4 linked regions of the Danio rerio genome follow. The protein of the gene in region 4 purifies or fractionates together with the protein of the main gene of each other region. This does not show direct contact. Links are inferred from orthologs where the notes say so. Each region holds a gene or a part of one and is shown on either strand. Other genes may lie near its edges.

Region 1 (4,428 bases), on a different chromosome or scaffold from region 4:
AAATATGACCCCATTGGTATCAATTAACATAAAAGTAATTAAACAGTCGGGTTTTTCCATTTTTGAATCCATTCAGCTGATATCTTTGAGTCTGGCGGGAATACATCATTGAATCAGATTAGACCAGTAGCATCTCACTCAAAAAGGAAAAGTTTTTAATCAATTTCCTATTTAAGTTGGACTTTTCTGTAGTTTACATGGTGTACTAACACCAGGGGTGTCCAAATTGGTCCTGGAGGGCCGTTGTCCTGGAGAGTTTAGCTTCAACCCTAATCAAACACACCTGAACCAGCTAAATGAGCTCTTATTATAAATACTAAAAACTGCCTGGCAGGTGTGTTGAAGGAAGTTGGAGCTAAACTCAGCAGGACACCGGCCCTCCAGGACTGAGATTGTACACCCCTGGCTAAGACCGACAGAAAATTAAAAGTTACAATATTCTAGGGCAGGGGTCACTAATCTCGTTCCTGGAGGTCCAGTGCCCTGCAGAGTTTAGCTCCAACTTGCCTCAACTCACCTGCCTGGGTGTTTCAAGTATACCTAGTAAGACCTTGATCAGGTGTGTTTGATTAAGGTTGAAGCTAAAATCTGCAGGACACCAGACCTCCAGGAACATGTTTAGTGATCCCTGTTCTAGGCTGATATGTCTAGGAACTATAATCCTATCCTTCTGATTCTATGTATTCATATTATAGCGATATTAATGTTTGATGATAGTAGAGAGTTTTTAAAAGTCCACTTAAAATACCACCACCATGTTATATAAAACTGTTTATTCTTGCTAATTCCGAAAAGGTACATTGACCAAAATTAAGAAATCTGTGTACAAAGAAGCAAGAGATCCATCTAATAGAGCGCAGACTGTAAAATAAAAACGAGACAAAGTTTGGTCTTCACATGGGGGTTTAGGAAGGTGCCGGTGCTCTCATCGGACCTCTGGGTGCAGGAGGACGAGGCGGCATGGGAGGCCCTCTCTGAAAACCAAAGGGTGGGGGTCTGGGTGGTCCCGCACCATAACCTGGAGGCGGCATTGGTGGAGGAGGACCCCTCATACCCGGATGCATTGGTGGACCTGTTAAAAGTAGATGAAGATTTGTATAAATCATTGCATAAATAAAAACACACACACATACACGTTTTATATATATATATATATATATATATATATATATATATATATATATATATATATATATATATATATAAACCATCATTATATTGTGATAATGATCATATAAAATACTGATATATTCATAATACTATGATTTATAATTTATAATTTAATATTATTTCATGATTTCAATACATACTAACACAACAAGTCAGTCTCCTTCACACACACACACATACATACCCATTGGGGGTCCAAAGGGTCCTCTGGGAGGGACACCCATGGGTGGAGGAGGCATTTGTGGTGGAGGCGGTGCTCTTGGTTGGTTAGATCCTGGTGGGCCAGGTGGGGGAGGCACCATTCCTGGAGGTCCCGTTGGAGGCATCGGCATATGCGGCATTCCTGGCGGATGCATTCCAGCAGGAGGGAAGGGCGGGTGTCCCGGTGGGGGTCCTCCACCGCCCTGTGGCGCAGGAGTACCTGGTGCTGGAGGCATGGGCATACCGGGAGGCATCCCAGGTGGCATTGTGCCAGGAGGAGGAACAGGTGGGAAAGCACCGGGAGGAGGCATTCCTGCAAGATTAACATGCAAAGAGTTGATGCAGAAAAAAAATAACAGTATGGTAACTTGAATCACCAGAAAAACATTTCTATTTTCTTTTAGGCTATAAAGTTTTACAGACTTATGACATTATTTTACACCTAATCCTAGGTTAGAATTATGACTAGAGACTTTAAATTAAAATAACTGATGTTTTCTACTACTGTATTGACATTCTAAATTGCGGAAGTGCGCCTGTTTTCGCGATTGTCTTAGAACTTCCATTTCAGTCGCCTATGGGAGAAATGACTAGGAATAATAAACGGCAGAAAATGGTCAAACTACTTGCTCTACAAACAAATGTTTGCATGACTATACAGACCAAGTAGAATAATATAACAGAGAAATATCAGTTTGCAACATCAAACAGCGAAACGAGCAGTTTTTAATGTCTAAAAATGAATGTAAGTGAATGAGACCGGAAGTCTCGTGCCAAAAAGATTCAAATGGCAGCGCCTGCTCGTCGGCTAAGAATAAGGTCAATACCTGTTTGTGTTTTATTTCATCAAAATGTGACGGGGGTATTTTTTTTAAGAGTTTTTGTAGAAAACATTAAATATTTATGTAAAATAAAAAATATAAATATTAAATATTGAAGTGAAATGACACATTTTAATACACCTCAAGTTAAATAGAAAGGATTTGATATTTAACTTGTTTTAAATAACCATGACCCATTTCATAAAACAAATCTTATTTTATTAGGGCTTTTATTAAGGTACATTTATGACTTTATGACCAAGTAAAGATTTATTTTTTAAAAGAACACATTGTGTCAAAATACTGGTCACGTGACTGAAAAGTGACAAGTTTGCACCCATGTTTTATGATTTTTATCTGCTCTGATTTAAGAAACTGTAAAAGGGTGAATGACTTTTAAAGACCTGCAGAAATTCTCTCAGTGATAATTAAAATGCCAGCATTTATTGATCAGGGTTTCCTCTCTTTCATGAAATGTGCATTATTTGTCATCGTTTTTGTACAAGATGTAAATGTAATATTTTTATATAAAGAATTTTCCATTTTAGTTCTGTTTTTGTCAGCAGGACAGTACAATTGCTACAATAACACCTTAAACTAACTTCATTTCAAATTTAAATCAAGCACTATTAAGGACCTGATTTGTTTTTGAGTACTCTACAAGCCTTAAATCCGTATGTCTAAAATCGAAGTACTTTCAAAAAGTGTAGGAACCCTGGCTGATGTCTTTGAACGTGAAAGTAAAGTTTAAACCTCTTTAACCAAATTAAAGAAAGGTTTTTTATAACGTAGGGATGTGCAATGGACCCTTTTCACAAGAACTGTTATGGCGCGTTTAACGATCATCAGCATCTTAAATTAAAGCTGTATATCATTTCAGCATAGATATCGCAATGTGCTCATATACAATAGTCAAATTGCAGGACCCTCAATGTACAGTCTGGATAATAAATTATGACTTATGTGTGTTTTTGAGGCCTGTGACTGAGGGTATTAAATATATTCAGACCTGAGAAACTGTACTGTTTCTAACTTTCTTTTTTATAGGATTATTTATAAAACAAAGACACACAGTATTTAACATTTGATTATTCAACTACTACTTAAATACCGTTAGACTCATCAGAAAACCATTCAATTTTATTTACATCTTATAGTATTGATCTTTGCTTGTAGATTACTAGTTGTATTTTAACAAAATATCACAACGTTACTGTAACAGAGGCCAGCTAGCTAAGTGCTAAGCAGGTAAACCTCTCCCTCCTCTGTCTTCTAAAGGTGCTCTAGTGAAAGACGCTAGAGGCCATGGTCTTTAGACTTCCTGTTGAAGCAACCAATTCCCATACTAAGAATCACCGTTTCGATCCCAGCTCAGACCAGGTCGGGTGCAGTAGAACTGGTGGATTACACTTGGGGGCTCGTCCAGGATGAGACTGAGGCTTAGGGGGGTGAGTGTAACAGAGGCCAGCTAGCGAAGTACTAAGCAGGTAAACCTCACTTCTCTAACCTCAAAAGGTGCTCTAACGACAAACGCTAGAGGCCATGGTCTTTAGCCTCCTTGTTAGAGCAATCGACTCCCATACAACAAATTGCCAGTCACAGCTCAGACCGGGTTGGGTGCAGAGGAACCGGTGGGTTACACTTGAGGGCTCGTCTGGAATGGGAGTGAGCAGTGAGGTTTAGGAGGGTGAGTGTAACGGAGGCCAGATAGCAAAGGGCTACGCAGGTAAACGTCACTCCTCTGACCTCAAAAGGTATTCTAGACACAGAAGCTAGAGGCCATGGTCTTTAGCCTCCCTGGTAGAGCAACCGGCTTCCATTACAAAGAATCGCCAGTTTGATCCCAGCTCAGAATGGAATAGGTGCAGTAGGAACTGTGGGTTACATTACATTTTTCCAATATCATACAGCCCTATCTTAAATCTTTTTATATATTTTTAATAGATTATTTAAAAACTATTAACATTTTTATGTATTTATGTATGTGCTACATCATCTTTGCATTAAATTACCACCTATGTGTGGCATTTGAAATGCAGCGTCTATAGGGCAGGACAGTAAATTTGATGTTGTTCTATTTTCTGTCTGTCGTTATCAGTCTCACATTATTTTCTTTTCTTTCTTGAAAGTCTTGATAACACCATAGTGAAGTTTTTCTTTTACTATTTCAGCAAACAGGATTGTGAATAAAAAATATTTGTTGTACTCTCCCATTCACTTCACTCTAAATTTATCC
Region 2 (2,499 bases), on a different chromosome or scaffold from region 4:
TATTATGATCATTATTATTATTATGATTATTATAGATTGATTACTGAATACTGTTTGACTGCCCATAAAATTATAAATCTTTGTTTATTTGCATCTTTTGTCCATTGTATTTAACTATGCTAGTCATTTTAATATAATACTTTATACAGATACACTCCCCTGCAGAATCATCCTAATCTTTACAAGCTAGTCGTCTGCTGAAATTGTATATATATATATATAGCAGTGAATAAAAATATTGCAATGTCAGTTTTTTTTTTCCAAATATCGCGCAGCTCTAGTTTTGATATTCACGCGATCATTCAGTGAAAACTTGTGATATGGTCTCTATATTTTTTACCACTCTACTTTGAATATTTGGGCAGAAATAGCATGCAAGTATGACTTCAAAACAACGTCAGCACTATTTGATTGACTGTGAACCATGTTGTCTTTTGTTAGTCTTTGGCCGCTAAAATGACTTCCCTATTCAGAATTGGCAAAGAATACTTTTTGAAATTCTAATATTAAGGAAAAGTCAGAATGTGCAAATATAAAACCTTACCCCAATGAGAAAACATATTAGCATCAAATGACTATCAAAGTATAACATTAAATAGAGCTAATGTTGTTTTAAAGTTATATTTACATGCTATTTCAGGCCGAATATTCAAAGTACAATATAGGCTGTCACAAGTTGTCATTGTTCAAAAATGAACAAATGTGCAAATATAGAACTAACTTTACCTCCGTGATTGTGTCATTAATATATTTGTGTTTGTAAGTTGAGTAACTGAATGTTCCGTTGTTATTTTTCTTCTTCAGCGGGAACACACCAGAGACCAGAGGCACAGCCTATGTTGTATATGAAGACATCTTTGACGCCAAAAATGCCTGTGATCACCTTTCAGGGTTCAACGTCTGCAACAGATACTTGGTTGTGTTGTATTATAATGCAAACAGGGTGAGTTTGTTTAACTTTGGCTTTGAAATGCTAACATTGGAATCAATCAACTTGTTAAGTGTGGCATCAAGCAAAGCGGCTTTCAGGTCAAAGGGCTCTATCAAAAGTAACGGGAAGGCTCAACAAATGGAAATAATAAACATTTAAAAATCGATTTAATGCTTTCAAAAATCACGATCGCTATATATATATATATATATATATATATATATATATATATATATATATATATATATATATATGCACCTAATATCTGATGGCCAGAAAGTGATACATTTTTATAAATTGTTAAAATATTGGTGTCTGCAAGCAGCAAGACTCTTGTGTGCACCATGGTTTTTATATAAAATTCACTTTAATGTGTGATGTGACCAAAAATTGCATTTCATTTTTAAATGATGCACTACTTTATGTTAATGGAAGTAGTGATGAGGCTATATATTAATGTTTACTTCTTTTTTTCCCAAGGCTTTCCAAAAAATGGACACAAAGAAAAAGGAGGAGCAGCTGAAACTTCTCAAAGAGAAGTACGGGATAAACACAGACCCACCAAAATAGTCAACATAGATTTTTTTTTTTTTACTCTTGTTCTGTCTTGCACCCATCTCATTTTCACTTTACTGCTTTAAGTAATACTTGTTTAAAAGGAAAGGACTGTTTGACCATTGTTCTTTGCTTGAACTGAAGTCTTTTGGCAGACCTAATTTCTTTTTCAATTAATTTTCTGTTAATATTGAATAAAATGATATTTGTTCATCGGGTTTGTTTTAATAAATCATTGATTCTCCTTTTTTAATATAAATGTTTGGTGTCTTTTTGCACTTATTGTACAGGTAAAATAGATTCAAAGTCCTGGAGTTTAAAAATGAATCAACTGATTTTACAAATGAAAGTTGATGCAATGCTTGACAAACACATGAATTAACATTTCTCTGGTTATCAGTAAGTGTGTGTGTGTGTGTGTGTGTGCGCGCGTGCGTGCGTGTGTGTGTGTGTGTGAGAGAGAGAGATTACATAAATGCGCATCTATTGTTTTTTTATTTTGAAACAATATTTTAATTTTTAAATAAAATAATGTTGTGTGTTTGTGCATATTATAAGTTATATACTCCATACATAAATAAACAAAATGTATAATTATATATTTAAAAAAAACGCATTGTTGCCGACGTCTTGTAATGAACTTCCGTTTGACCTTAAATGAGCCAATCAGTTTCTAGCAGGGGAAGGAGGCGCGAAAGTACCAGTGCTGGATCTAGTTAGGCGTCTGTTAATTTGCTTGTTTAGTTGTGGGATGTCGGTTTGTTTCTGGGATTTTCATATTGCTGTATCTTTGTTGTTCGCTAAAACTACGCTTGACTGGGGAAAAATCCCTTTTCAGTTCGCTTACCTTTGATTTGCTTCGACGGTTGATGAGAGGCCAAGATGTCGTTGGTCAACGCTGAGTTCAGAGCGGAATTTAACCTGAAGTGGTGAGTGTTTGTAGTAAGTTAAATGTCTAACGTTATTTGTTTTTTGCGATGTGCATTAAATTATTGTAAACTAATATAATTGAC
Region 3 (3,301 bases), about 70 Mb from region 4:
CTAAGCACTGCAGTGTTGGGGTCTTCTGTGTTTGAGATGGTTGGTCTATTGAAATGTGTATATTCCAGATAAAGTACGAAGCTGATCGGCAGGGCCAGACAGAATCTGTGGACATTTTTTGCTATTTCTGCTGAGAATTTCATTTTTAAAAAAATATATAAAAAAATAGAAATGGATGGATTTATGCAGAATAATTTTAGGAGTATCATAACTAAAAACTTAATAAAAATACATTTTTAACTTGTATTTAATGTTTACATTGCAAATCCAATTATATTCACTTATTTGGTAAACAAAGCAAGTCTCTCATATAATATATCTACTAAAAGACAGAAAATATTCATTTACAAACTACTGTTCAGAAACCATATGAAATTAATATTACTATTATTATATCATAATGATATTAGTAAAATTTATTGAAATAAATATAATAATTGAATAAATATAAATTTACACACAAGTAAATAAATAGACTGAATAATGGGCTCAAAATCTGCAGATTTCTGCGCTCGCCTACTGATCGGTCAGTTCTTGTCACGTAACTTGCGGTGCGCTTGTGGCCTTAATTCAACAGGGTGCAACTGAAAGGCGCGAGCGTGTCACACCCATAGACTGTAAAATATATGGACGTAGTGTCCGTGACGTCACCAATTGGTTTCTGAAGAGCGCAAAAGAAGCCACAAGTAGGCGCGGCCAACCGTCGCCATTTTGTTCGTGCGTTATCGCACTCACGGCGGGATACCAAACAAGGGCAAAGAGGCGGAGAGTGAGTGGAGCTACAGACACCTGCTGGCATTTAGCTTGGACCTGGCTCAGACACTTTATTTACACACTGGGTTTTAAGCATGAATATTAATGTGATGATATTGATGATGTGATAATGTGATATATTGATTGATACTTGTGATGTGAACGCTGATGTGGTGAAGCCAAACATACATTTGCAGTTAAATACAGAAAGTCAAATCTGCAGGACACTGACTCTCCAGCACCGAGTTTGGGCAGCAGCCCTGCTTTAATGCAGTAATGCTAAAAGTCTTGAAGGCTTGCGTGTGAACTGACCTTCTGTTTGGCGGCGTGCTCGGCCACCATGTCGCTGAAGTCCTCCTTCTCCACCTGCTGCTCCCGGACGTGCTCCTCGTACTTCTGGGTCATGGCCATGGGGTCCAACTCCAGCTCCTCTGGGGCCAGAGCAACCTCCACACCCTGAGAGTCTCCGCCCAGCACAGACACGCCCACCTTACGACTTGTCACCGTCTGCACCAATCACAGCACAGAGAGGCACTTTTAACATTTCTGACATGCATTTTAAAAGAGAAGAGGCTATAATTAATAAAAAGCTGTATTATAATAATAAAAATAGATATTGATCTTATAAAACAGGGTTAACAAGCAAAAAAGTATACTGAATGACTTAAAATTGACATTTAAGACAAGATTTACAAGACATTTTACAAGATTTATAAGACAAACCGTATTTAGAAAAAGCAATACTTCAGTATTTCCACTCTGAATCATTTTTGAATGAATCATTTGAGTCAGAGTCTACGATTGACTAATAAATGACTTCATTCTGACTAAGACTTGATGCTTCTTTCTAAATCAAACATTCAGCCATTTTGAATGAATCATTTGAGTCAATGATCCATTCATAAAAATGATCCATTTATAAATAAATCAGCGGTTTTGAACAAATCATTTGAGTCAAGGTAATTAAAAACTGATTCATTGCTTCATTCTAAATAAATCTGTGATTCTGATTGAATCATTTGAGTCAGAGACAATGATCCATTGATAAAAATGTCATTTGAGCCAATACATTTATGAAAAGATTCAATTTAAATAAATCTGCCATTTTAAATGAATCATTTGAGTTAATGATCCATTCATATATTTGATTCACTGCTTCAAACTAAATACAGCAGCTGTTCTGAACAAATCAATTCGAGTCAATCTATTTATAAAAATGATTCATTGCTTCATTCTAAATAAATCAGTCCATTCTGAACAAATCATTAGTCAAAGATCCATTCCTAGAAAATGCTTTTTTTTTCCCTAAAATTCTCTATTCTAAACAGATCATTTGAGAACATCAACAATCCTTTAATAAAAATGCTTCATTTATAAATAAATCAGCTGTTCTGAATGAATAATTTGAGTCAATGATCCATTCATAAAAACTATTTATAGTTTCAGTCTAAATAAATCTGTAATTCTGAATGAATCATTTGAGTTAATGAACCATTCATAAATTTGATTCACTGCTTCAATCTAAATACAACAGCTGTTCTAAACAAATCAATTAAATCAGTCCATTTATAAAATGATTAATTTGATTCATCGCTTCAACCTAAATTAAACAACCATTGTAAATGAATCATTTGAATCATGTAAATGAATCATGAGTCAACCCATTCGAAAAAAAGATTAACTGATTCAAACTAAAGAAATCAGCCCATTCTGAACAAATCATTTGAGTTCATGATCCATTCATTAAAAAGATTCATTGCTTTAATTTAAATAAAACCGCCATTCTGAACGAATCATTTGAGTCCATGATACATTCATTAAAATGATTCATTGCTTCAATCTAAATAAAACCGCCATTCTGAACGAATCATTTGAGTCCATGATACATTCATTAGAATGATTCATTGCTTCAATCTAAATAAAACCGCCATTCTGAACGAATCATTTGAGTCCATGATACATTCATTAGAATGATTCATTGCTTTAATCTAAATAAAACCGCCATTCTGAATGAATCATTTGAATCAATCCAGTCATAAAAATGATTCATTGCTTCATTCTAAAAAAAATCAGCCATTCTAAATGAATCGTTTGATCCGAATCAATGATCAATTCATGAAATGATTTTACATAAATGAGCCGTTTGCAACAAATCATTTGAAATAATGACTGAGTGAATCGCTCATTAAGAACTGTAACTGACTGAAATTATCATAGTTATGCATGACAGGCTAAACCAGCACAAACGAAACACATTGCTAAATATTGAAATAAAAATGTTTTTAAAATCACACACTCCTAACAAACCCATCAAACGTCTAAAATGTCATTTGTCTCAAGTAAAGGCAGCATTTATTTCTGCATGTCAGTGCTGTAAACCGTATATAGCTGCACTTTTCTGATCTACAGCATCATATCCGCCAGCTGCTGCTCGTTTCCCTCTTCTGTGTCATTTTAAATGCAGATGAAGGCCATATGGATGCAGTGTGTGCGCGCGTGTGATGCTGTGAAGCGGATCTGATGCAGACGCTCTGCTATCTCATCAGCC
Region 4 (3,929 bases):
AAAATATTATAGGAAATACTGTGGCAAAACTCCTGAATCTGTTAAACATCATTTGGAAAATATTTTGTAATAAAGGGCTTATAATTGTGACTTCACTTATATGCTCACTGGTAATTATTTCTGTCACCTACTTCTACCGGTGATGGGTTTGACATACCTTAAGGTCAGATCTCTGTCGGACCACTTCCTTGAGGACGCCCATCAGAATATCTGTGGCTAACGTGCGCTCGTGGGCCTCGTCAAGAATAATGACACCGTATCGCTCCAGTAAGGGGTCGTTCATAGCCTCACGGAGTAACATACCGTCTGTCATATATCTGCAAACAAGACACACTTTTTATTAGTCTTTATATCAAGTAGCACTAAAACAACACCAAAAGAATAGGCATAGCAGAGCTAGAGAGAGAGAAGAGTACTTGAAATGTACAGTTTATTCAGATTTTGTTTTTTACTACTACCATTTACTGCGCCTACTATGTTTTTACATATACTGTGTTCGTGTTAATGTAAACTTTATGAACGCTTTGGCAATACATTGGTAACATTTCTCATCCATTTTTAATTTAAATTAGAGAGACAGACGGACAGATATTGAGTTGATAGCCATTATCTGCTTCTAGCTGTCGTGGCAAAAACAAACACAATTTACAAACATTTTATAAAAATATCTTCTTTATAATAAAAAAGTTTTATAACAATAAGACATCAACAGCAGTAAATAATACAGAAAATGGACCAAAATAGCTAATACAAGTCACGTGTGAGTAAACTCTCCTCACATTGGTCAGAGTTGCATGGTTTATTTTGCAGAGTCCCGCTCAGCTGTCATGCGTCCTTATTTTAATTTATGATGAGGAGCAATGAGACATAAGCGAAAGGCTGCACTTTCATTTTGAATGGTGACACCCACAGACATCAACAGATTTAAATCAGAGGTAAGACTTTTTCACACATAGCCTTTGGCTAGAATTATGCATTATAGGCTTTACATTATGAGAGAAATAACAGATAAACCAAGACCCATTTTCCTAACGAATAAACAGCTCTCGTTAATAGTTCAGCATGCTTTCATTTTCGTATTTGACATGAAATGCTTATTTACTGGTAAAAATAACATCCCGCCCTTATCATAATTCTTTATTTATAACCATATGTATGCCTATTACATATCCATAATACTCTGTGATATAGCCTGGTTTAGATTGTATTGCTTTCTCACTACAATCGATCTGCTTTAGAGTTCGTTTCAATCAAGCCAAGATCACCTCATTCAGGCGATCTCGGACCGATTGCTTTGGTGCGGATCAGAGCCCGATTGCTGGATTCACATATGCCAAACGAACCGCACGAACCGGGGAAACGCACCAGGTTCCGAAACAAAGGTCTAGGTGTGAAAGCGCCCTTAATGTATTTATAATTTGTATGTAAAAAAAACAAAAAAATAAACATACTTTGTATTACATATGCATAATATACACAACACACATACATCGTGTCAAAATAAACTTTTATATTGGATACAACTAAACTTAAAACAATTTTTTCAAGCACTCACATTTAAAAGTCTCTGTAAAGAGTCTTTCAAAAACTGCAGAATTATCATCAAAAGTAAATCTTAAACTGCTTTAGATCATCTTATTTTCTGTATTATTTATTGCTGTTGATGTCTTATTGTTATAAACCTTTTTTTAGTTATATTTTTCACTTTTGGGTGAACTATCCCTTTAATGACAGAGGATTTCTACAAGCTTAGCCCATTACCAAAAGCTACAACGGACCATTTTCCAGTTTCCAGATTAGTCAGCAGCAGAAGTCGTCATAGTTGGTAAACTTTTAGTGCAGTAAACGAGAGAGTGCAACAAATAATTGTTTTAAAATCCTATTTGCTAAAAAAAGAAAAGAAAAACTCCACAATGGTGTTATCACGACTTTCAGAAAAAGGAAAACGATAGTGTGAGACTGATAACTGTAGCCAGAAGAGAAAACAACATCCGATTTACTGTCCTGCCCCCATACGCGCTGCATTTCAACACCCTCGTACAAATAGTCATTTGTTTTTAGTAACTTTACGCAAAGATGATGTAATACAAACACAATTACAAATAAAAGTTAAAGCATTTTTATATCACAATATTAAAAACGTTCAAGTATTCAAGATGCTGATGACTATTACACGCGTCTTGTGAAAAGGGTGCATTGACTTCCACTTTATTGAAGGCTCATGACACACATCATTTGAGAGCAATGACTTACTTTAGTATGGTCTTTGCAGAGCTACAGTCCTCGAATCTGATGGAGTATCCGACCTCCTGACCCAGCATGACATCCATCTCATCTGCCACTCTCTGAGCCACACTCATGGCTGCCACCCTTCTGGGCTGAGTACAGGCCACGCCGCGCTTCGGGCCAGGCAGAGACCTGACCATGTCAACACACCACTGAGGGATCTGAAAAACAACAGTCCAAACATCCATTAAAAGCTCCTTATTGTGGTTTTATTAAGCCTTGTGTGCTGTTGGGGATGTTTTTAATCCAATCTGGGGGGATTTTGAGACTTAATTTGGCCACAACCTTCTCAGTGTTTCAGCAAATGGAATGATTTTTGGTAATTAATCTTATTTTGACATATTTTGGGAAAACACTTTGAAAATTTTCAAAAACTGAACTTTTAATATACTCTAGGCAAATTTACTACACTTTCATTATGTTGGTGGCTGTTTTTGACCCATTGATTTCCATTATAATGACGTTTTGTGATTGCAAAGTCATGACTAGGTGTATTCTTTATTCTTGGTGGTTTTCCCTGTTGGGAAGAGGTAAAATGTTTCATTTTTACTGTTGATCATCAATAGCAGTGCAAAAAAGATTAGTTTCTGGCTTTGGAGTTATATTTATTGTTTATGCGTGTATATGAGAGGGAGAGACCTTTGCGCACTTACTGTAATATGTCTGAGAAAATCTAAATAATCAGCTCAGCTCTCAGAACATAGTAACCATAGTAACCTAGTAAGTCTATTCATGGACACACACACACACACACACACACACACACTATAATCAGCCGTTTTACTCCATAAAATGCTATAAAAAAAGCCCAAAACTAGTTTGCACAGGCCTATCTAAAGTGTTAATGCTGTCAACTGATGACCAACAGTAAAAATTACAAATTTTATCTCATGATTGTGGAACTAAACAAATAAAAAGCATAAATAAATGCAATAAAGCAAAGATAAAAGTGAAATAAACAGCGTTTATGGTTATGTAAATGTAAAAATGACACTGCAAAGGTATATGGAAAATTCTATGCAGTCTAACCTGTGTGGTCTTTCCAGAGCCGGTCTCTCCTACGAGCACAAAGCTCTGATGGCGGTTCAGGATGTCATTAAAGCGCTCTTTATACTCCCAGACGGGCAACTGCAGCCTCTTCTTGAGGATCTCGTAGTAGCGTGGCGTGTGAGGCAGGTTGGTGAAGGGGTTGATCTGCTGATGCATGCTGGCCTGCTTCAGAGGAAGGATTCCGCTTCCAGACACGCTGGAGCTGAGCGCCGCACTCGACGACTTGCTGTCTCTCTCTCGGTCGCGATCGCGGTCTCGGTCTCTGTCACGATCGCGCTCACGGTCCCGGTCACGATCTCGATCCTTTGATCGCTCATCCCGATCTCTGTCACGGTCCTTCCTGATGGGGAAAAAATAATGCATCCCTTAAGCTTAATCATCAAATGCATTTGGTTTGATAATTTAAGTTTCCTCATGAGCACACAAAATCTGAGCTCACAGAAATCTGCTGCTTTTTTTTAGCCAATCATTGAGTCTATTTATTTACTTAATTAAATGTGTAAATATCTCTTTATCACGTTTTTATATTAAATTCAGCAATATTTATTAACTAATATGCAAATGTCTGTATGATTTATGTACAACACAGCTTT

The links. Proteins that work in one complex are often made in the same cells at the same time.
Region 1: the proteins of dhx15 (region 4) and sf3b4 purify together in Homo sapiens (co-immunoprecipitation; 4 studies listed by BioGRID and IntAct, with this or other methods). This does not show direct contact. The link is inferred for Danio rerio from reciprocal best matches to the Homo sapiens genes DHX15 and SF3B4.
Region 2: the proteins of dhx15 (region 4) and sf3b6 fractionate together in Homo sapiens (co-fractionation; 3 studies listed by BioGRID and IntAct, with this or other methods). This does not show direct contact. The link is inferred for Danio rerio from reciprocal best matches to the Homo sapiens genes DHX15 and SF3B6.
Region 3: the proteins of dhx15 (region 4) and sf3b2 purify together in Homo sapiens (co-immunoprecipitation; 3 studies listed by BioGRID and IntAct, with this or other methods). This does not show direct contact. The link is inferred for Danio rerio from reciprocal best matches to the Homo sapiens genes DHX15 and SF3B2.

Annotation. Positions count from the first base shown.
Region 1 is NC_133194.1:8,483,009-8,487,436, reverse strand, and holds the end of sf3b4 (splicing factor 3B subunit 4), read right to left. Parts: intron 1,685-4,428; coding exon 1,355-1,684; intron 1,073-1,354; coding exon 906-1,072; 3' UTR 759-905; downstream 1-758. UniProt on the Homo sapiens protein: Component of the 17S U2 SnRNP complex of the spliceosome, a large ribonucleoprotein complex that removes introns from transcribed pre-mRNAs.
Region 2 is NC_133195.1:38,725,928-38,728,426, forward strand, and holds the end of sf3b6 (splicing factor 3B subunit 6), read left to right. Parts: intron 1-804; coding exon 805-943; intron 944-1,411; coding exon 1,412-1,501; 3' UTR 1,502-1,741; downstream 1,742-2,499.
Region 3 is NC_133182.1:6,544,612-6,547,912, reverse strand, and holds part of sf3b2 (splicing factor 3B subunit 2), read right to left. Parts: intron 1,261-3,301; coding exon 1,066-1,260; intron 1-1,065. UniProt on the Homo sapiens protein: Component of the 17S U2 SnRNP complex of the spliceosome, a large ribonucleoprotein complex that removes introns from transcribed pre-mRNAs.
Region 4 is NC_133182.1:76,901,424-76,905,352, forward strand, and holds part of dhx15 (ATP-dependent RNA helicase DHX15), read right to left. Parts: intron 3,677-3,929; coding exon 3,316-3,676; intron 2,448-3,315; coding exon 2,254-2,447; intron 318-2,253; coding exon 158-317; intron 1-157.